6 linked regions of the Oryctolagus cuniculus genome follow. The protein of the gene in region 1 interacts with the protein of each later gene in a pairwise test. Links are inferred from orthologs where the notes say so. Each region holds a gene or a part of one and is shown in the gene's direction. Other genes may lie near its edges. The genes, in order: UBE2L6, DTX3, RNF125, RNF144B, ARIH2 and RNF144A.

Evidence for each region.
Region 2: the proteins of UBE2L6 (region 1) and DTX3 interact in binary tests that used the Homo sapiens proteins (3 or more experiments, as listed by UniProt). The link is inferred for Oryctolagus cuniculus from reciprocal best matches to the Homo sapiens genes UBE2L6 and DTX3.
Region 3: the proteins of UBE2L6 (region 1) and RNF125 interact in a two-hybrid assay, tested with the Homo sapiens proteins (3 studies listed by BioGRID and IntAct). The link is inferred for Oryctolagus cuniculus from reciprocal best matches to the Homo sapiens genes UBE2L6 and RNF125.
Region 4: the proteins of UBE2L6 (region 1) and RNF144B interact in binary tests that used the Homo sapiens proteins (3 or more experiments, as listed by UniProt). The link is inferred for Oryctolagus cuniculus from reciprocal best matches to the Homo sapiens genes UBE2L6 and RNF144B.
Region 5: the proteins of UBE2L6 (region 1) and ARIH2 interact in binary tests that used the Homo sapiens proteins (3 or more experiments, as listed by UniProt). The link is inferred for Oryctolagus cuniculus from reciprocal best matches to the Homo sapiens genes UBE2L6 and ARIH2.
Region 6: the proteins of UBE2L6 (region 1) and RNF144A interact in a two-hybrid assay, tested with the Homo sapiens proteins (2 studies listed by BioGRID and IntAct). The link is inferred for Oryctolagus cuniculus from reciprocal best matches to the Homo sapiens genes UBE2L6 and RNF144A.

The regions. Positions count from the first base shown.
Region 1 is NC_091432.1:14,578,014-14,581,455, forward strand, and holds the end of UBE2L6 (ubiquitin/ISG15-conjugating enzyme E2 L6), read left to right. Parts: coding exon 1-55; intron 56-1,807; coding exon 1,808-1,959; 3' UTR 1,960-2,942; downstream 2,943-3,442. UniProt on the Homo sapiens protein: Catalyzes the covalent attachment of ubiquitin or ISG15 to other proteins. Functions in the E6/E6-AP-induced ubiquitination of p53/TP53. Promotes ubiquitination and subsequent proteasomal degradation of FLT3.
Region 2 is NC_091442.1:60,208,538-60,212,705, forward strand, and holds the start of DTX3 (probable E3 ubiquitin-protein ligase DTX3), read left to right. Parts: upstream 1-1,368; 5' UTR 1,369-1,482; intron 1,483-1,531; exon of another isoform or gene 1,532-1,915; 5' UTR 1,916-1,979; intron 1,980-3,257; exon of another isoform or gene 3,258-3,401; intron 3,402-3,517; 5' UTR 3,518-3,564; coding exon 3,565-3,593; intron 3,594-3,686; exon of another isoform or gene 3,687-3,892; coding exon of another isoform or gene 3,893-3,911; coding exon 3,912-4,168. UniProt on the Homo sapiens protein: Regulator of Notch signaling, a signaling pathway involved in cell-cell communications that regulates a broad spectrum of cell-fate determinations.
Region 3 is NC_091441.1:45,592,409-45,595,908, reverse strand, and holds part of RNF125 (E3 ubiquitin-protein ligase RNF125), read left to right. Parts: intron 1-827; coding exon 828-922; intron 923-2,086; coding exon 2,087-2,177; intron 2,178-3,500. UniProt on the Homo sapiens protein: E3 ubiquitin-protein ligase that mediates ubiquitination and subsequent proteasomal degradation of target proteins, such as RIGI, MAVS/IPS1, IFIH1/MDA5, JAK1 and p53/TP53.
Region 4 is NC_091436.1:145,659,766-145,662,355, forward strand, and holds part of RNF144B (E3 ubiquitin-protein ligase RNF144B), read left to right. Parts: coding exon 1-4; intron 5-1,142; coding exon 1,143-1,283; 3' UTR 1,284-2,590.
Region 5 is NC_091441.1:100,171,768-100,175,267, reverse strand, and holds part of ARIH2 (E3 ubiquitin-protein ligase ARIH2), read left to right. Parts: intron 1-1,269; coding exon 1,270-1,421; intron 1,422-2,363; coding exon 2,364-2,507; intron 2,508-3,449; coding exon of another isoform or gene 3,450-3,475; coding exon 3,476-3,500.
Region 6 is NC_091433.1:194,632,064-194,636,297, reverse strand, and holds the start of RNF144A (E3 ubiquitin-protein ligase RNF144A), read left to right. Parts: upstream 1-1,434; 5' UTR 1,435-1,766; coding exon 1,767-1,794; intron 1,795-4,234. UniProt on the Homo sapiens protein: E3 ubiquitin-protein ligase which accepts ubiquitin from E2 ubiquitin-conjugating enzymes UBE2L3 and UBE2L6 in the form of a thioester and then directly transfers the ubiquitin to targeted substrates.

The DNA.
Region 1 (3,442 bases):
TGCCTGCCCATCATCAGCAAAGAGAACTGGAAGCCTTACACCAAGGCCTACCAAGGTGGGGCTGGGCCTTACCCCTGAGGGCGACACTGTTACTGGGTGGAGGAAGTTAGTGGACTTATTTTGAGTTAGACAAGCCTGAAAGAGAGGAGATAAAATGTGAGTCTCCGTGGAACCTACCGTTAGAGAGAAGGGGTGCCTCCTGAGATCCTGGATGCTCCTGGGCAGGTGTGACAGAGGAACTTGACCATGGACATGGGAAAGAGAGGCAGCGTGAATGCAGGGGGCAGGGCTTGGGACTAAGAAGGCCTGCTGCCCCATGTGTGGACTTAGGGCAAGACTCTATTCCTCTGTGGGACTCAGCACCCTAAGTGACAGTTGACAGTGGAGGGGATTGTCCTAACTGTGACAGTATTCATCCCTTAACTAAGCGCTGTCAGTGCACTGTGCAAAGAGCACTGTGAGCCTGCCCGCATCACCCCCAGGAGGTAGTGCTGTCATTAGCCCCATGTAATAGAGCCAGAGGCACATGAGTGGTGAAGCCGCTGCCTAAGGTCCTGTGGCTTGCAGATGGCAGAGCTTGGCTGACTCTAGAGCAGTGTTGTCCAGCTGAACTTGGTGCGGCCATGGAAATTTCCACAGCCCCACTGTCTGGTACCATCATCCCGGGCCTCATGTGGCTGTGCAACCAAGAAACAGAATTCTTCATGATGTTTTTTGTTGTTGTTTTTGTTTTTGTTTGTTTTAGGAAAGCTGTGGCCCATATAGGGGGCAAGATATTTTTTTAAAGGTTTATTTATTTTTATTTGAAAGTCAGAGTTACACAGAGTGAGGAGAGGCAGAGAGAGGGAGAGAGAGAGGTCTTCCATCCGATGGTCTACTCCCCAGTTGGCCGCAATGGCTGGAGCTGTGCTGATCTGAAGCCAGGAGCCAGGAGCTTCTTCCGGGTCTCCTCTGCAGGTGCAGGGGCTCAAAGACTTGGGCCGTCTTCTACTGTTTTCCCAGGCCATAGCAGAGAGCTGGATTGGAAGTGGAGCAGCCAGGTCTTGAACTGGTGCCCATATGGGATGCCAGCGCTTCAGGCCAGGGCGTTAACCTGCTGAGCCACAGCTCCCACCTTGTTCATGTTGTTTAATTTTAGTTAATTTAGAAAACTACATGGAGCTCCACATTGAACAATGGAGCTCCAGAACCCATGGGCTTCCTCTGGGTGCTGTCGTGTGTCTGGTCCAGCTCGGGAATTCTTAACCTGGGAAACAAGACTCTTGGCGTGGTGGTGGTGGGGCTGGGATGTGGGAGAGGTCCTAGGATGAGCCTCAGGGCTCTGTGGTGACGCACTGTTCACTCAGAGCTGTGTTTATGTGCGTACACATGTGTACTTGGGCTTCCACCTGCACGGGGCTCCCAAGGGCATCTGGAAAAGATTAAGTGCCATAGCAATAGGTTTTCCATCTTCAGCCTTAGAACCTTTTTTTCCCAGATAAATTTATTTGGAATCCCAGAATAACAACAGAAAACCAGGATGGGTCTTGTCGAAATGGGGCTGAAACCCCAAAATCTCTCTTATCTCAGTGACCCCAGAATGTGTAACTTTTCTGAAGCCATAGGACATAGCTGTTTGTAAAACACTGATCTCACCCGGCAAAGCTTTGGGCATCGTCCACCAGGAAGGGGAGGCAGTCTAAGAGATGGACTGTCCTTGGGGGTCCCCCTGAGCAGTGAGTGGGGGGATCCGGGGAGTGGACAGCCAGTGCCTCTATCCAGGGTTTTTCCCTCTGCCCTGATGTCCCGCTCTGGCCTCTCTCCACAGTCTTGGAGGCCCTCTACAATTTGGTGAATAGACCGGATCTGGCGGAGCCCGTGCGGGTAGAGCTGGCTGACCTGCTGACCCAGAACCCGGAGCTGTTCCAGAGGAAGGCAGAAGAGTTCACCCTCCAGTTCGGAGTGGACCGGCCCTCCTAAATTGGGTTTTGACCCCATCTGCGTGGGATCCTCTGCATGGTGGACCAATATACCTCACGGACTGGGGCTGGAGCCCCTGGATGAACCACTCCCCACTCAGTTTTTCCTTCTTAGGTTGCTAGCCATGAGTTTGTGTATGTGTGTGTGGCAGGAGGGAGGCTGTGGATGTGTGTGTGGTGTGAGGCCTCGCTGCCCCCAGGTTCACCTGGCCACAGGTGTGCCCTGCCCACTCCCTGAGCCTTCCCCACAGCCAAGGGGGTTTAAGTTTGCAGAGTGAACAGGTTAAATCTCCAGGGAGAGAGAGACAGGTCACATTCTAAGTCAGCCTGCTGGAAACCAGGATCCCTCCAGGGTCCAGGGCCCCAGGGAGCAGGGAGTATGGATGGGAAGCCGGGCTCGTGGAGGGCACTGTATTTCATATTTCAGTGGAGTGGTTGAAACCAGCCAAGCTACTGAGCGCCATGCACCGATTTAGGTGCTAAACCATTCATTTTCCATTTTCCACTGTTGAATCCTAAAACGAGGAGTCTGACCTCCATCCGGGGAGTCTGACTGTGTATTTTGACATTTCCTGCTATCCTGCCAGGTGGCCAGTTCCTGGGGACGGTAAGGCTGTGGCCAGCACCCGGTCCAGCAGAATCTACAGAGCCCAGTGCTTGCCTGGCCAGTGACGTCACAGATGGGGCAGGCAGTTGGCCTAGTGGTCAAGACCCTGGTTGGGATGGCCACGTCCCATACTGGAGTGCCTGGGCTTGAATCCCAGCTCTGCTCTCGACTCCAGCTTCCTGTTCGTGGGCACTGTGGGAGGCAGTGGGGGAAGGCTCAAGTGATTGGATCTCTGCCACCCTCCTGGGGGACCTGGATTGAGTTCCCAGTTCCTGATTCCCCACCCTTAACCCCCGCCCAGTGTCGGAGATTGAACCAGTGGATGGGAGTGCTCTCTCTCTCTCTCTAACAGAAATTAAACTTTAAATAGAAATGTTTTCTATGTCACAGGTGAATTCTGGGGTTGTGTCTCCAGTGAGGGGTGGGGTGGTTTCATCCATACCAGAGAGGGGGCTGCCCCGGCTGCTGCTGCCCCACAAACCCGTCGCCCTGCTTCCCGGACGCTGACCCCCAGCAGAGGTCCTCCGGAGTCCAGGGGCTGGGGGGCGGCCGTGTGGCACCGCGTTTGAGTCACTGCTGGGGACGTCTGTGTTCAAGTCCCAGGTGTTCTGCTTCTGATCCACTCAGCTTCCTGAATTGCCGGCATTTGGGAAGTGAACCCCCGGCCGGAACATCGCTCTCCATCTGTCTCGTGGTGTCTTGCTGTCTCTGCCTTTCACATGACACGAAAGTAAATAGGTTTTGTGAAAAGGTTCCCAGGGGTATCCACCGTTTTAGAGATGAGGCAGCCAAGGCACGGAGCGGCCCTTCGGTGGATCCCTTGGGTCCGTATTGCCAGTTAGGATGGACTCCACGCCTCCTGCAGCCACGCATCCTG
Region 2 (4,168 bases), on another chromosome or scaffold:
AAGCCAGAGCACCTGTGCTCAGGTTGTCCTCCAGCCCCTTGGAGCTTCCCACATTTAAACTTTCTTTTTTCTAATTTGAGAGAGACAGATAAGAGTTCCCATCCACTAGTTCGTGTCCCCCGATGCCCACAGTAGCTAGGACTGAGGGCTGAATCTGGGAGCCGGGAACTCAGTCCAGGTCTCCCATTTGAGTGGCAGGAACCCAATCACTTGAGCCATCACCGTGGCCTCCCAGGGTCTGCATCAGGAGCTGGAGGCGGGTGTGGAACCCGGGCACTCGTGTTGGACCCCACAGTTAACGGAAAGGTGGATGCAAGCAGCTGCCCTTGGGGCTGCAGGGCTGCTCTTCTCTGTGTCTGGCTGGGACTGATCGGTTTCACGAGAGGTCATGAGGTCATAGGGAGAAGCCCTGGCTCCCCTTAATCTCCTCCAAAAGGAAGTAGCAAGAGGAGTCCCCAGCTGGGGGTTGGAACCTCTCTAATGCTTTCCCATCAGGGCCCTGATGGACCGTTTCCATTCCAGCCTGCTACCTTTTCCCTGTCGAATGCAATAAAACTCTGTGACACCAGCAACCATTGTCCTTTAGAAGTGGTGTTCTGGCCATGTGGCTGATGTATCATGGGCAGTATGGTCTTCATTTGTTGCTTCTGTTTTTCCTCTTTTTTGTTTTATTAATAAAAAGGTCTTGTGTATTTACTCCCATTACTACTACAATACAGAAAATAAATTATTCAATTCCTTTACATTATTGCCTTTTCTAAAAAAAAAAAAAACTTTGAGAAAGCCTGTACTTAGGGGTACTTCTGGCCTTCGAGGTGTGTTGGGCCCCCACTAGGCACTGGTTTTTAGGCAGAAGGCTGTGAATTCAACAGCTAGTGATGGGTGTGCACGGGAGTGGGAAACTAAATCACCTCTGGGAATGGGGCGTGGGGGGGTGACCCTCCCTCTCTGAGGCCTTCCTAGCACCAGTCTCTGGAAAGGTGAGTAGGCCTGTCCAGCAGCGAGCAGCTAAAGGCAGAGGAACCCAGTGTTCCCCCAGGGTGCACCCCCTGAAGGGCAGGCAGAGTAGCACGGGGGCCTGGGAAAGTGAAGGGTGGGGGAGTAGGGGCTGTTGCCAGTCTGGGAGAGTGAGTGTAGCTTGGCCCACGGCCTTGCTGGTGGAAAAACCTGGCTTGATGTGGCCCCTGGGAAGTGAGCTGGGTGGGGGCGGAGACTGCCTGACGTGGGAAGCAGAACAGAGCTGGCTTTTTTTTTTTCCTTTCTGAGTTTTTAACTCTATTAGAACCATACACTTGACACCAGCACCACCCCCAGTGATTTGAAAAACAAAACAGTGTATTCACTTGCTCATTCTGCACCAGCCTCGCTACCCCAGTCTTGGAAGGGGAAGGATCAGGCAGTCCCCTTGTGTGAGCGCAGGTGGTGGGGGTCCCAGGTGATCTGGGAAGAGGCCAGGGGCGAGGGAGGGCCCCGGAGCCGCTGGTAAGGAGACGCTTCTGTTTTAGAATCAGTGCGTTGCTTTTCACTGTGCCCCTTCCCATCCCGCCTCGTTCCTCCCAAGTCCCTTCCCGCACAAGGATTCGCAAACCCTGCCCCTCCAGCCCCCGCCCCCCGAAGCTGCCACGCAGCTGGCTGGGAAAGGAGAGGAGGGGCGCGAGGAGGGTGGCGTCTCCGAGGGATTTAACCTCCTACCCTCACTTACATGACGCCACCCCTCCCTCCCAAGCCTGGGACTGCGCCTCCATTTTTGTTTTGGGGCGGAAGGGCAGGGGCTCCCGCATAGCAGGGGTCAAGGGAAGCGGTAATCATCACCTGTGAGGGGAGAGGGGGTGCTGTCCTCCCTCTTCCTCAGTCTCTCACTGCACCCCTGCAGCCCCCCCAACCCTCTCAGGGTCTCCCCCCCCTTGTTGCTAAGGCCCGGACCGTCATCCCAGCAACAGCCTCAGTCATGTGACCGGCAATGGCGGCGCTGACGAGAGGTAGGTGAGCCCGGCGCCCCCCACACCCACTGCGCGCCCCCCGGCCCCCGCTCGCGGCCCCCTCACGCCCCCCCACCTCCTCTGGCATCCCCTACCCCCACGCACCGCGCCGGGGCCCCCCTCGGTGCCCGGCCCTTCATCTCTCTGATCCTCCGGCCCCGGCCTCCAGGCCTCCGTCTGGGGGTTCTGAGGGCCGCGATCAGGCCACCGTACACCACCCAGCTGGTGGTGAGGCTGTGGGGGCTTGGGCGAGTAGGGGAAGTGGGGAGTTGGGTCCAGGTCGGGACCTGGAGGGGGTCGTGGGGGGAGGGGTGGAGCTGCCACAGTGGATGCCCCGAGGGACCCTTGCCCTTCCGGGCTGTCCCTGCCTCCACCCTCTATCTGGAGGCCAGAACTGGGCCCGAGTCCGGCCAGGGCTGCCCCAGAGGAATCACAGACCCAGCCTAAGCGGTGGCCCCGCCTCCCTCTTCTGTGCCAGCAGGACTTGGAGCTAGGACACTTAGGTCCTAGGGGTCTCCCCCCCCCCCCCCCACGTCGGGAAGGGGATGCTCCATCAGGGGCAAGCACTGGGGGCTCTAAGATCCAGTGTCACTTTCTGAATCCGAGGTCCATCTGGCCTTGAGCAGACTACGATGGAGGCACAAAGGGACAGCTGCTCCTTTTTGGATCAGATAAGAAATTGAGGTCACATGGCCCCTCTTTCTAGTTGACAAGCTGCATTTGGAGGTGTTGTGAGGACAGCCCAGTGACTGAATCTGACAGGGCTCAGGGACACCTCTGACCCCTCCAGCTGTGCCCCTGAGCCCTGCCCCTCCCTAAATGCAGACCGGGGAGCTGGCAAGCAGCCCCGCGGGCATGCTGGGTCTCAAAGGTGACGGTGAGAACTTTGTTACTGCAGGGCCGCTGCCACTTTCTGCACCCCTAACTTCAGCTCACCGGCTTCAGGGCAGAGTTCTTTGAGAAAGTGGGAGCAGGACAAGGAGTTGGGGAGCACAGGGCAATTTCTTGTCTATGTGATCTGAGGGAGGTGATAAGAAAGCTCCACTGATGTGGGCTTCTGCTGTGTTGACTTATCTTACTTGGACCCTGGGCTTTTTGGGGAGCCCCAGAGCTGGAGCCGGGAAGAGGAAGGTTAACAGGTCACAGTGCCTCTTGCAACCTCGGGGGAGGCTGGGAATGGCATTCTGCAGGGGAGGAGAGTACCTGGGAGAAGTTTTGTTTCTGGGCTGCCAGGGAGAGAGAGAACATTTGCCATGGTAACTGTTAACCCTCCCCCAGCCCTGGTCAGCTGAGTGTGGATATAGAGGGGCTTCTGCTGCCGTCATCTTCCATGGGCTTTCCAGGTACTTGCCCCTTGTGGGAACCTCAGCTTCCACCCAGACATGGATCTCCTCCCTCCCGTGTCCCAAGTAACCCTATTCGGTAATCTACACTCAGAGACACACTCCTGCCTCTGTTTCAGGCTGCTGGGTTGGGACCTGTGGGAATTGGCAGAAGGGGTTTCTTACTTTTTCTCCTCTTCCTCCCCACCCTACCAGGTGATACAACCCACAAGTAGGGAGCAGGAAAGAGAGAGTGAGCCTGCATGCCAATTCTAAGCTCTTCAGGATCAAAGTGAGCAAAGGAGAGGGGGGCATCAAAACTCCCCAGAGGGCAGAGGGACACATTGTTTCTGTGTAGCGGGAGAATGGAAAGAAACAGCCAGACTGATGTTTCCATCATAACAAAGTTATGGAAACTCTTGCCTTCAGTGGGTGCTGGGGTTCAATGGAAGGTAGAGCTGGGGGAGGGGCTGGGGGCTCAGCTTTGAGAGCATAGGGGTCATGTGGGCTTTGGCAGGAGCCTGATGTAGGAGGCACTGGCACCTGTCCATGGGGACCCCCCACCCTGAGTCCCTTTCACCCTGGGGGCAGTGTCGTTCGTCCTGTCCAGAATGGCAGCCTGTGGAGGCACCTGCAAGAACAAAGTGACTGTCTCCAAGCCTGTGTGGGACTTCCTGAGCAAGGAGACCCCAGCCCGGCTGGCCCGGCTTCGGGAGGAGCACCGCGTGTCCATCCTCATAGATGGCGAGACTTCTGACATCTACGTTCTCCAGCTCTCCCCGCAGGGCCCGCCCCCCGCCCCTCCCAATGGGCTCTACCTGGCCCGCAAGGCTCTCAAGGGGCTGCTGAAGGAGGCAGAGAAAGAGC
Region 3 (3,500 bases), on another chromosome or scaffold:
TTAGTAGAATATGTGCTGTGTTAGCAATAGACCCCTCATGGTGAAGCTCTCTGAATGTATATCTGGAGGAATAGGGGCTCTTTATTCTGCACTGATGAAAATCGATGGCAAGAGCCGTCTTTTATGTTTGCTTTTAATGGAGCCATTAAGTATATTGTGCATTGTGAATTCATGTCTTAACTGCGTACATTATAAAACCATGGTATTTATCTTGCCCTAAAGCACAAGGTTTCTATTAACTTACTGTGGAGATCTTTATCCATTTAGTCTTATCTCTCTTTATTTCTTTTCCTTCTTAAGTTTTTCTTTTTTTCCTCCCTCTCTCCTTTTCTTCACTCATTTTCCTTCTTTCCTTTCTTTCTCTGGCATGCACAAAATGCAAATTTTGAGTTACTAACCATTGTTCCAATTCAAAGTGTATATATATATATGTATATATGTATATATATGTTCTATGTTCTATACACTTTATACATAGTACATAAAATATATATAATATAGTATATTATATATAAATTATTAACTATAAATGTATAGTATATAAAGTAAATATATATAATATATAGTATATATATAAAGTACATATACTTTATATTTTTCTAGAAGAATCAAGTTCAAGAACTAACATTTGGGTCTACTAAGTATTGGAGAAATTTTAAAATAGTTTTATTCTTGATGATGCCCTAATTTCGTGATACTGTTGTCATGAATGCATCTATTTAAATAACTGGCTGGCTCATAGTATGATCTTATTTGAAAGTTATAACCTGGGTTACATAAAGCCCTCTTTCAACAGTGAAAGTTATTTTGCATTTGCTTTTCTATAGGTTTGCCTCAGTGAGATGAGAGCGCACATAAGGACTTGTCAGAAGTACATTGATAAGTATGGACCACTACAAGAACTTGTGGAGACAGCAACAAGGTTTGTTTCAGTACAATGGAGTTTGATGTTAAATCTGATGCATCTATAAAGAATTTAAGGGGTAGGAGAGTTTAACGCTTATGAAAATATTTATGTAGTTATGTTTAGGCATTTCACCATAAAACCTGGTACTGTTAATTATTTGTTAATAGCAATCATTGTCATTGTCTACTTTAAAAACTGTGTAGGGAACGGACCACGCAATGGAGAGATTAGGGTAACTTTCTTAGAAAAGTTTATATTAGAGAAGACCCAAAAATAGAATGCTGAACTGTTAGATTTCTGGTAGGCAGTAGCTTAACCTGTGTAAAAATTTAACGGGGTAGTTACAAGTCAGTTTTTATTTTGCACCGAAAACTAAGAATGTGAGTTGACACCTGAAATTATGTACTCCTGTTCTTGTGGAGTTGGAGAACAAATAGCACCCAATTTGGATGTTATCTGTTATGAAAGGGAGGAAGAAAAAGATAACTACAGAACTGTTGATTGCTGTGATCCTCAGTTTCTCAATTAATGGCTGCTCTGATTATATTTCCCTTCCAAAGAGAATAAAGTGCTTTAAGTGTACTATTAGGCTGGCACCGTGGCTCAACAGGCTAATCCTCCACCTAGTGGCGCCGGCACACCGGGTTCTAGTCCCAGTCAGGGCGCCGGATTCTGTCCCGGTTGCCCCTCTTCCAGGCCAGCTCTCTGCTGTGGCCTGGGAAGGCAGTGGAGAATGGCCCAAGTGCTTGGGCCTTGCACTCCATGGGAGACCAGGAGAAGCACCTGGCTCCTGCCTTCGGATCCGCGTGGTGCGCTGGCCGCAGCGCACCGGCCGCGGCGGCCATTGGAGGGTGAACCAACGGCAAAGGAAGACCTTTCTCTCTGTCTCTCTCTCTCACTATCCACTCTGCCTGTCTAAAAAAAAAAAAAAAAAAAAAGTGTACTATTAACTGTTTTTCTGCCTTCCCAGGGAAGCTACTAACTGATATTTCTTAGGAGAAAAATTCAGGCATCTGGATCAGCTCTATTATCAGGACAGAACAAATAATGCCAAATCAAAGAAAGAATTAGGAACAGAGATCAGATACCCCTCTGTTGTATTTTTCTAATCCCTACTTATGCTACTACTCTCTGATTGCCAGCAATTTGAGTAACATTTGGATTCTCTGTGATTTTCAGGTGTGTATGTCCATTTTGTCAGAGGGAGTTGGATGAAGACAGCCTGCTGGATCATTGTATTACTCATCACAGATCAGAAAGGAGGCCTGTGGTAAGGAATTTTGCTACTATGTATTTGAGTAATGTCCTAATTCTGGATACATTAGATAGTCTAGTCCATTTAATAGATTTCTATTTATAGCTTTGTTATAAAGGACAATAATTGATGTTGAGGTTATGATAATTCTATGTTAATGATATGTGAAAGTGCTGAGTTGAAACTGACAAGAACTTCTAATGTGCAATTGCTCTTTCATTTATGAAATTATACATTATCTCTTACAGATACTCAAGGGCATAATCAACTAAAATGATCCAAAATGCATATATAAAATCTAATTTTAGTTTACTAACCGTAGTCATACCCTAAGTTTAAAATATTTTTAAGTAATGCAAATAGTGATATGACACTAGAAATGAAGTCACTCATTTTAATTGATTAACCTATTGTTTTTTTTCCTAATCTGAATACTTATCCATATGCCTAGTAGATATACATATGGCATATGGCTCTTCCTTTCCTAGATTTATTGTTTTTTTTTGTTTTTTTTTTTTTTTTTTTTTTGACAGGCAGAGTGGACAGTGAGAGACAGAGAGAGAGAGAGAAAGGTCTTCCGTTGCCGTTGGTTCACCCTCCAGTGGCCGCCACGGCTGGTGCGCTGCGGCCGGCACACCGCGCTGATCCAAAGCCAGGAGCCAGGTGCTTCTCCTGGTCTCCCATGGAGTGCAGGGCCCAAGCACTTGGGCCATCCTCCATTGCGCTCCCGGGCCACAGCAGAGAGCTGGCCTGGAAGAGGGGCAACCGGGACAGAATCTGGCGCCCTGACTGGGACTAGAACCCAGTGTGCGGGGCCGCTAGGTGGAGGATTAGCCTATTGAGCCGCGGCGCCGGCTAGATTTATTGTTAATGCTGCCTTTTGTCTTTTCAACCTGGCATTTTAGTTCCACTGTGCTATGTAGTTTTTGCATTTTTAAAGATTTTATTATTTTATCTATTTGAAAGACATACTGACAAAAAGAAAGAGACCCTCCATCCGTTGGTTCACACCCCAAATGGCCATGATGGTTAGGCTGGGCCAGGCTGAAGCCAGGAGCCACGAACTCCATCTGGATTTCCCACATGGGTGCAGGAGTCCAAGTACTTGGGTAATCTGCTGCTGCATTCCTAGGTGTGTTAGAAGGGAGCTGGATTAGAAGTGGAGCAGTCAGGATGCGAACTGTTGCTCTGATATGGATCCAGCATCACAGGTGGCTGCTTAGCCCACCACGCTACAATACTGTCCCTGCTGTGTTTTTATACATTTTTAAAATTAGACACACATAACCTATGTCTATTTTTAAAAATATCTAGTTATTTTCATTTTACTCAATCAGA
Region 4 (2,590 bases), on another chromosome or scaffold:
ACAGGTAATCCTGAACTTGAAGGGAGCATGAGACAAACAAGGAGCCCACCCATTCATCCTCGTCACTCTCTTCCCTTCCCATCCATGCCTGTCTGGGATGTTCTGGGCTGTGATAGGGAGAAGTGATGGGGCAACTGCCAAAGTCTCCATGCAGATAACAGTGACCTACAGAATCACAGCAGACCTCTTTCCCCTTGACATTCGATGGAATGACCCCTAAATCGCTGTAATGCTTAATAATGATGCCTATCAGAGGCAGCGCTGGACAGTCCCATGAGCCCCTGCTGGGACTTAGAACCCTCTGTACCTGCCATTGTGTGTTTGTGTGGTAGGTTCAAAGGGAGTCATGGTTTATTTTTATATTTATCAAAGGCCACGGTTCTTTTGAGGGAGTCAGTGCTAACATCCCAGCAATCATTAACATCCCTGTGAGAATATAGAGGCAACTCAGGTAGAGAAAGTGCCAACAGCAATGGCTTCTGAGTAGATTGAGCTTGAGACAGAGCTGGAGTTAGCATTTGGTTTGCTCTCACCCTCGATTTTGATTTTTTTGTGTCTCCCTGGTTTGTACCCATTTTGGGCCAGTGCTGGGGTGCTAGTGAAAAGATCCCATAGATATAACTTTTATATGCTCCAAATGATGTCTTATTTATTCAGGCTGCTTGAATGATTTAGACAGCAGAAATTCAAGGGCTCTCTTCCTGCTTCAAAGATGTCCATTTTTTGTTGGGTCCTCCCTTGATGAAGAACAGGGAGAAAGGAAACAAGCTCTCAAACATTTCTTCTTCTTCTTCTTTTTTTTTTTTTTTTTTTTTTTGATATAAGGAAATGTTTATTGGAGCTATTTGATTGTGTTCAGGTTCAAGGCTACATAGCTGATTCCCAGGAGTCACAATTCACATGGAAAACAATGTGGTGACCTTCAAGGCACATCTCTTCCATAGGGCCACTAATCACATCATGAGGACCCTACCCTTATAATTTAATTCATCTCCAAAGACCTTATCTCCAAAATCACACTGGGGATTTGGTTTTGGCATATTAATTTGGAGGGCACAATCCATAGCAGATGGTGCAGTTGGAATAAATACACATGTAGGAAGATTTAACTGCTGAAACATGCTTTTCTTTTAAATTTCTAGGTGGTGGGGATTCTCGTAGGATTGGGCATCATTGCCTTGGTGACTTCACCCTTGTTACTCCTGGCCTCACCCTGCATCATCTGTTGCGTCTGCAAGTCATGTCGGGGCAAGAAGAAAAAGCACGACCTGTCCACAACCTAAGGATCTCTATTATGTCCATGTGCCACAAATGTCTGCGTTATATGACATAGCACACAGCGATAAAGCCCTACGTAGTGACCTTGTCTCCTTGCCAAACTTTGGAAGTGCCTCTGTGTCCAGACTTTGAACTTGCCTGCCAGCCTTCGGCATTGACAAAGGCCAAGTCCTGGGTGCAAGTGTTCCGTGTAACAAGAACCAGGCTCTACAATTCAGGCTGTGTCTGTGGAGCATGTTGGGCACTTTGGGGAGATTGGGAAGAACACACATATCATTTTCTCATCTACAGGATCCCACTGAACTGTTCAACTTCCAGCCAATTCAAGGAGCCTGCCATTCGATGTAATAAATGAGTTGTGGTTGGTAACACATATGATAACAGAAACCCCATTCTCTTCTGTCTTGATTTGACCACCATGAGACACCTGAGGGAAGCCTGGTGTAGGAGGGGAAGGATGGACTGCAGAACAGAGAATTTTCATGAGAGCTGGAAGCAGCCTGCTTATCTTAGGAGTCAATGGCTTTGTGCTACTGGCTGTGCCGTTCCCAGCGTTCCCGCAGTGACCTGGCAGAAGCACAATAGCTTTCTCCTTGTCTGATCTCAGCTTCAGGCAGGAGAAACTGCTGTGCAAGAGGGTGTTGTCTTTTCCTCAGTAATCAGGTTGCAGCATGTGAAACAGCATGGTCTAATTTAGGGTCTCTCCCTCAGCGAAAAAGAACTTTCCTGGGGCCAACTTGTCTTTTACAGCCTGGACTTGTGGTCTACAAAATTGCTTTATATGAAATGTGGATCTAGTGGTAAAGACTCAAAATCTCCCTGATAGATACCAGGGGTCTTTCTCAGGCTCTGTGTTCCCAACAGATCTGAAATTAGACTTAAAAGTGTACCACGAAAATACATGTTAAAGTCCATCTGGAATCCATATGACTTGCAGCCTATCTAGAATTTCTACCAATTGGACCTGCATGGATATACTCAATAATAAACACAAATTCATTCTATCCTGTGACTAAAATAGCTTAATATAAATCAAGCTTAAGATATTTTGCATATTATATATGTGAATTTTGGTTGCAAGTTCGTATCTTACCCAAGGGTATAGACTCAGAAATATTAATCTTTTAAAATAGTACCTAGAACAATATCATAGTATGTCTATTTATAAAAATATTCATTGATAATCAAGTTATTTACATGTTTTCATACATAAGTCAGAGCAGCTCTGTTCTTGATAATTTAGTGCTGTGTGTACAGGCACTGATAAAACAACAAAAATGTTTAACAAATAAAATGAAAATGTTTTATATCT
Region 5 (3,500 bases), on another chromosome or scaffold:
GCTTTGCTGTGTAATTAATTATACTGCTTATAGGAGCAACCCTAGCCAATGCGGTATTTGAAACAGTAGCAAGCACAAGTTGCCAGGGAGAGGGCAGTATTGCCGCTGTTAGATGAAGGCTCCCAGGAGAAGTTGAACAGCCTTTGGGTCTCTGGGTTTGGCTTTAGCTTCCCTACAGCTTGACAAGAGCCTAAGCAGAGTTTACCTACCACTGTCAGGGGCTCTGCAGACAGGACATCATCTACATTATTGGACATACAAATGAACTGTGGTTGACCCTGCTCCGTTAGGCTGTAGTAATTCCTGGGATGTACGGCATCCATAAGGGTATCTTAAATTTTTCCTTTTTGCTTCCTTAGTTTGGAAGCAGAGTCATGCACCTCCCCACCTGCCCTTCCTCTCCCCTTTTCTCTCCCTCCCTCCCTTGCCCGTCTCTGTGCCTTTTAATAAATAAATAAATAAATCTTCTTTAAAAAAAAAAAATGAAGGGAGGTGCTGGCATTGAGGTGCCGTGGGTTAAGTCACCACTTGCAGTGCTGGCATCCCATATGGCTGTGGATTCAAGTCCCACTTGCTCCACTTCCAATCGAGCTCCCTGCTCATGTGCCTGGGAAAGCAGCAGAAGGTGGCCCAAATACTTGGACTCCTTCTACCCACATAGGAGACCCAGATGGAGTTTTGGTCTCCTGGCTTCAGGCTAGTCAAGCCCCTGCCATTTGGAACGTGAACCAACTAATGGAAGATATTCTCTCTCTCTCTCTCCCATCTGCCCCCCGCCCCCCACTTCCTCCTATAACACTGCCTTTTAAATAAATAAATCTTAAAAAAAAAAAAAAAAAAAAAAAGAAGAGGACCAGCTTCACATACAAACATCTTCCTAGGTCAAGTGTTAGGAAGATGAGAGATAGGATATACAGATGGTGTGTGTTGTAGCCAACCAGGTGGGCTTCAGTTGGACAAATTTCTGCTTCTTATAGTGGTACTGACACAGCAGGCCCGTGGTCCTTGTATAGTCTGCACCTACCTATGTTGAAATTAATAGACACAGAGCGCATGTGCTCATGGAATGGTGAATATCCATAAGCTGTCATATCAGCAAGGACAGGCCTCAGGGATAATGCGAGGTAATGTTCCCTCTGGAAAGAGGCAGCCAGGATGTTCTAGTCAGGTGATACCTCCGGGTCTGTCCATCCCACTGCTTTGCCAGTGCCTTGGAGGGATGTGGGTTTGTCTTACGGCTATAAGTGACTCTCCCTTTGTTCTGTGCAGACTTCTGCTGGATGTGTCTAGGAGACTGGAAGACTCATGGCAGTGAATACTATGAGTGCAGTCGGTACAAGGAGAATCCTGACATTGTCAACCAAAGCCAGCAAGCCCAGGCCAGGGAGGCCCTCAAGAAGTACTTGTTCTACTTTGAGAGGGTAGGCGTCTTTTCCTGTGCCCATCCCACCAGGGTGGGCTTCTGTGGTTAGCCTACCTGGGTGGGCTGACTGGGCTGACTGGTAGCCAGAGCCAGCCTGTGCATAGAGAACGCAGTGAATGAAGCTCCTGCCAGTAGCCCTGGTGCTACCTCTACACCTGTGCCTTTTAGGCTCTACTGGGTAGCCACAGCTGGAGAGGGACAGGGAACTGACCTCAGTTAACGATGGATGAAAGGATAATGAAGACTCATTAGACAGTTTTCATTCCAGTGCTTTTAAAAAAAATTATTTATTTATATTTAAAATAGAGAAAGAGAGATCTTCCAACTGCTGATTTACACCCCAGATGCCTACAACGACTAGGGCTGAGCCAGGCCAAAGCTAGGAGCTTTATCCTAGGTCTCCCCTGTGGGTGAAGGGGCACGAGCACTTGGGCCATCTTCCACTGCTTTCCCAGGCCACAGCAGGGAGCTGAAATGGAAGTGGAGCAGCCAGGGCATGAACTGGTGCCCATAGAATGGCAGCCTAACCCACTGCGCCGCAACACTGGCCCTCCAGTGCCTTCTTAGTGGTCAGAATTAGGGAATGGTTTCCCCCAGGGAGACCCTTCAGAAGTCAGAGTATGACAGTTGGTCCCTAAGCACAGTAGACTAGTGGGGGCCCCCGCTTTGCTTGGCTGTCAGGGCCAGAGTCCCGTTTCCCCAGCGGGATGGAGTACTTGGGCAGGCAGAGAGCTGTTCTGAGGGTTTACTGAAACTGTTCTCGTGGGTGCACTGAAAGCAAGCCCTTCCTGCACTGTGGAGGCCACACACACTCCCCGTAAGTTCAAGGAGTCTGTCGTCATGCCCTGCCAGCCAAAGGTGTGTCCTGAGTGTGTGGACCTGTGGACTTGTGGACCTCCTGGGATTCCTGCAGCTTTCTCCTTCTCTCTGTGCCCTCTAGTGGGAAAACCACAACAAAAGCTTGCAGCTAGAGGCGCAGACATACCAGCGGATTCATGAAAAGATTCAAGAGAGGGTTATGAATAACCTGGGGACGTGGATCGACTGGCAGTATCTACAGAACGCTGCCAAGCTCTTGGCCAAGGTATCTACCACCTCACTCTTGGATCCCCTCTCCAGTGCCTGGCCCCCATCAGGGCACACCTCTGAGGGTGGGAGGTCTTGTGGGGAGTGGGAGTCGTTAGCACCCTGCACAGCCTAATGTGCTTCTGCTGACAGACCCACATTTCCTTGTGCTGGGCCCTTGAGGGACTCAGTCCTTTGATGGAAGTCAGAGGCTTTTTTTTTTTTTTTTTTTTTGACAGGCAGAGTGGACAGTGAGAGAGAGAGACAGAGAGGAAGGTCTTCCTTTGCCGTTGGTTCACCCTCCAATGGCCGCCACGGCTGGCGTGCTGCAGCCGGCGCACTGCGCTGATCCGATGGCAGGAGCCAGGAGCTTTTCCTGGTCTCCCATGGGGTGCAGGGCCCAAGCACTTGGGCCATCCTCCACTGCACTCGCTGGCCACAGCAGAGAGCTGGCCTGGAAGAGGGGCAACCAGGACAGAATCCGGCGCCCCGACCGGGACTAGAACCCGGTGTGCCAGCGCCGCAAGGCGGAGGATTAGCCTAGTGAGCCGCGGCGCCGGCCCCAGAGGCTTTCTAAGAATAGTGTTCTGCTGCCTCTGCCTGCAGGGAAAACTAGAATCCCCTTCCTCTCCCTTTGTCCCATCTCTGCGTCGTGCAAAGGAAAATGAAAAGATAGTCTTCGGACAAATATTGAGATAGATATGTGGACTCTGATGTCCAACCCAAGAAGGAGAAGTCACTGAGGCAGTGCTGGTAATAAATCACAGTTTGAAAAAGGAAAGGTGGGTGTCCTGTGATCAGTTCTGTTCTGCTTTCCCCATGTCTTGCCCCAGTCCATCTTCTCCTTGGCTTGGCTCTGATTCTTTGAAGCCCAGACCTGTAGAGCCAGGTTAATCTGCATGGTGGGGCAAGAGTTTTCAGAGCCACCTGAGGTAGAGGTAGGTTAGAATCACAGACACAGGTCCCTTCTCTTCTCTCCTGCTGCAGTGTCGGTACACTCTGCAATACACCT
Region 6 (4,234 bases), on another chromosome or scaffold:
AAGAGGCTGCCAGCAGAGCAGACAGAGAGGGAACGGCCATATTGGGGGGGGGGGAGGCAGGAGGTGGCAGGAAGTCGTCTCAGGAAGCGTTGTGAGGCTGACGCCTGGGCTGTGCCATGGGGGCCACGTGGCTTTGGGGAGGGCAGTTTGGGTTTTGATAGGAGGGCAGCAGGCAGGAGAGGAAGGGGGACAGGTTGTGGACAAGTATTTATCATTTCCCAGTGACATAGGATGCTGGTGACCAGCTATGGCGCTGTGGAGAGGAAGCATTGTGTCTGCAGGACTTGGGGGTGGGGAGCCCTCCAGAGAGGGGCTTGTGCAGGGGTTGCTGGGCCACAGGAATGGCCCGTGAAGCTTGGAGCCCCATGTGAAAGACATCACTTGGGTTCTGCTGTTTCCCCAGGCTTATCAGCTGGGACTTGCATTGTCAGCAGAATGGAGCGAGCCCTTGGCCAATCAGAGAGTGACAGAGAGAGAGGGGGGCCCAAGCTGGTGGTGCATGCCAGAGAGAAACAAGGCCCATTGCAGAGGGGCTGGAGGTGGTGCAGGGAGGAAAGAAGGCGATTGGGTTGGGTGGTCAGATACTTGGAGCTCAAGGCCCTGGAGGACCTGCGGGGGGGCTGCCCTGTAGCTGACACGTGCAGCTGGGAATTCGGGCATCTGCAGGAACCCAGGGCTCCAGCGTTGCTCTCCCCGACTCCAGCTCCATGTCCAGCTGCCTCGCCCTTTCATTGGCCAGCACTGTCCACCACATGCCTGCTGTGCCCCTAGGGTAAGACCTGGAACCCATGCATTCCTGTGCTGAGTCACTGCTCAGGAACATGGCGGCGAGGAGGAAGGTTGACATTCGTGCCTGCTCTTCTTCCTCTTGTAGTCCATGGCCCACATGTACATTATAAACTTGATGTACCTATTGTTTGCAAACTTGACTTTACTGACCCTGCGTCTGTCCCCGCATTGCGTCTGTCCCTGCAATGCACGTCCGGGTGCAGAGAGGCCTGGGGCCCTGCAGGCACACAGGGACACCTTGAAGCACGTGGGATAATGCCCTGCAAGCCCGCCTGGAACTCTGCATTCTTTCCCGCGTCTGTGCACAGGCCGTGCTGTTTGGGAATCTGGTCTGCAGCACATTCCAAGAACGGTGACACGGCTTCCTATTCACAAAGGATTCGTGTCAAAGGGGACGAAATGCCAGAGAAAGACATTCCAGCCCAGGCACAGCTATTTTTAGGGGTTTAGGATTTATAAAGGGAAACGGTGTCCCTGGACTGGAAACCGGCCCCCCATTCGCACATCTGTGATTGGAGTTGCTAAATCTGAAAGACAGTGTTGTGCTCTGTTTTCTTTTTTCCCCCAAGTGCAGAATATCATTTTTTTTTTTAAATCTCTGGCTAAGAAACTTGGACTCGTCCTTGGCTGTCCTTCAGCTCTGGGAATAGCAGTGTTGGGAGGGCTGCAGCTGCTGTCTCTGAGCCCAGGCTTTGGGCGCCTGGGCCTCTAGGGCAAAGGTCATTGTCAAGGGTGAGCTGGACACGCAGCTGTCGGCCCCCAGCTCCCATCCCCGGTAGCTTCAGGGCTGCAGATGGGGAGAAACGCGTGATGTTTTCAGAACTGAGTGCGGTTGGCGGTGCCCTGCAGGGCTGCAGCGGCTGCTGCCCTTGTTCAGAGAAGCCACAGCAGCCGCGCTCTCCACGTTTGGATCAGTTACGGTTTTCTGTGCTCGCTGCACTCCGGGCTACTTTCATATATGTCCTGTGACGTCATGTATGTGGGGTGGTGGCCAGTCCATCACAGGTGAGTCTCCCATAGTCCTCCTGGCGTGTTCCTGGGATGGCGTTGATTTCTTCCCAGGGGAGCATGTGTTTGTACAAGGTCACGGGTGCTCTCAGGATAAATGCTCAGAGTACGTTTCTGGTCCAGTAATGTTAACAAGCAGCGGCGTAGGCTCCAGGCTGCAGAGGGTGAGCACAGGCCAGGGCGAAGCTAAGACAATCAAGCATGGCTGCTGGGGGGCAGGGGGACACCTCGGACAGCAGTGCTGGGGCCAGCTGGGGCTGAGCCTGACTGTGGGCAGCCCGAGGCATGTGAATCTACCCTGTGGGTGCAGAGAGCCAGGAGGCCAGGGAGAGGGGGCCAGCAGAAGTGCTGCGTGGGTGTTGTGCACACAGATGAGCTTGAGAGCAGTGGAGAGGCCCGGACGGGAAACTGGGCCCACGCCACCTACCAAAAATCAATGCATTTTTTTCTGAATGCTAACACAGGGTTGCACAGGTACACACACACACACATTGGCCAAAGAATGCCGTGCCTTCTCTCATGTGTACAGTTTGTGAATAACTCCTAATGTGGCCATGTCCCACATTGTTCTGCAATATCTATGAGAAGACCTCTCCATCGGCAGAATTCAGATCCAGTTCAGTGACCTCCATTTCATTTTAACCTTGACTTTAGTGATTGTGCTGATCTACTCTATGAGTTGTATTCTGTGACTTCTCAGAGTTTTGAATAGTACTCCTATATAGAGACAGAATATAAATGTATGTAATATGTCATAATGCGTGTAAATATATTTATACTAAATATAAACATTGTTGAGAATTTAAACGGAATTTAAAGTGAGGTTAAGCACCTCACTTAAGTCTGATTGGCTGATTGATTTGACAATGAAAATCTCCTTTTCTGCTCAGGTTATTGGAATGACTTAAATATGTCTATAATATTGACAGACTTGCAATTGGGGTCATGTGTTTTAATAACAACACATGTTAATACTCTCTTTTTTCAAACACTGGAGTATTTTTGCTTGAACAAGTTACCTCTAAGAGAAAAAGATTTGGGTGCAGTGAAATTATTTGCCAAGTTTTTTTTCTTTTTTTAAAGATTTTTGTTTTAAAGTGATTTATTTGAGAGGCAGTTACAGACAGAGAGAGGGAGAGGCAAAAAGGTCTTCTATCCACTGGTTCACTCCCCAGAAAGCTACAATGGCTGGACCTGGGCCAATCTGAAGCCAGGAGCCAAGAGCTTCTTCAGGGTCTCCCATGTGGGTGCAGGGGCCCAAGCACTTGGGCCATCTTCTGCTTTCCCAGGCCAGAAGCAGAGAGCTGGATCAGAAGAGGAGCAGCTGGGACATGAACTGAAAACCATATGGGATGCTGGTGCCGCAGGCAAAGGCTTAGCCTATTGTGTATGCCACAGCACTGGTCTCTTTGCCAAACTTTGGAATGGTGTTAGGATGAACTTCCCAGAAACCCAGCCCTGAATGACGGATGTCTTGGTATTAAATTCCTGTGCAGTTCTGGTGGTTTCCAAAGCTGTTCATTTGTGGGGAGATCTGCTGATTCAGTTGTTAGCTGGCCACGGAAATTCATCTCCATTCTATTACTTTTATTATGTGATTTTTGCCATATGTGCGGAAAAAGTTGGTAAAATTGAGTTTCATTTTTATAATAAATTATCTGTGTATATATGTGAACAAAGGAGTAAAGCCATTATAGATGTAAAAGTGAAAAACACAAAATTGATCTTGCTTTGGATCTTATTGTAAGTAATACCTATGGTTACAGAAAATTCATGAGAAAACTACAAATCTTTTTTTTTTTTTAAAGATGTTTTGATTTTTTGAGATTCAGAGTTACAGACAGAGGGAGAGACAGAGGTCTTCCATGTCTGGTTCACTCCCCAAATGGCCGCAGTGGCCAGAGCTGGACCGTTCCGAAGTCAGGAGCCAGGAGCTTCTTCTGGATCTCCCTCGTGGGTGCTGGGGCCCAAGCACTTGGACCATCTTCCACTGCTTTCCCAGGCCATCAGCAGGGAGCAGGATTGGAAGAGGAGCTGCTGGGACTTGAACAGGTGCCCATATGGGACGCCTGTTCCGCAGGCAGAATCTTAGCCTATTATGCTACAATGCTGGCCCCTAAGCCTTCTTTTTTTAAATAGAAATCTATTTTTTAGACATACATAAGAATAATATACATCAACATTATCATGTTTATGCTATTTTTCTCAATTATGTAGTAATTACAGCCATAGTAGTGTTTATTGAGAGTGAGCGAGGCAGAGAGAGAGAGTGAGAGGACTTCCATCCTTTGGTTCACACCCCAAATATCTGCAGTGGCCCCTGGCTACAGGTTGAAGCCCCACAACTTAAACTGTCACCAGTACCTCTGAGCGTCTGGGAGCCGCAGGAAGCTGCAGCCTGGAGCTGAGTGGGACTGGAACTCAGGCACTCAGGTGT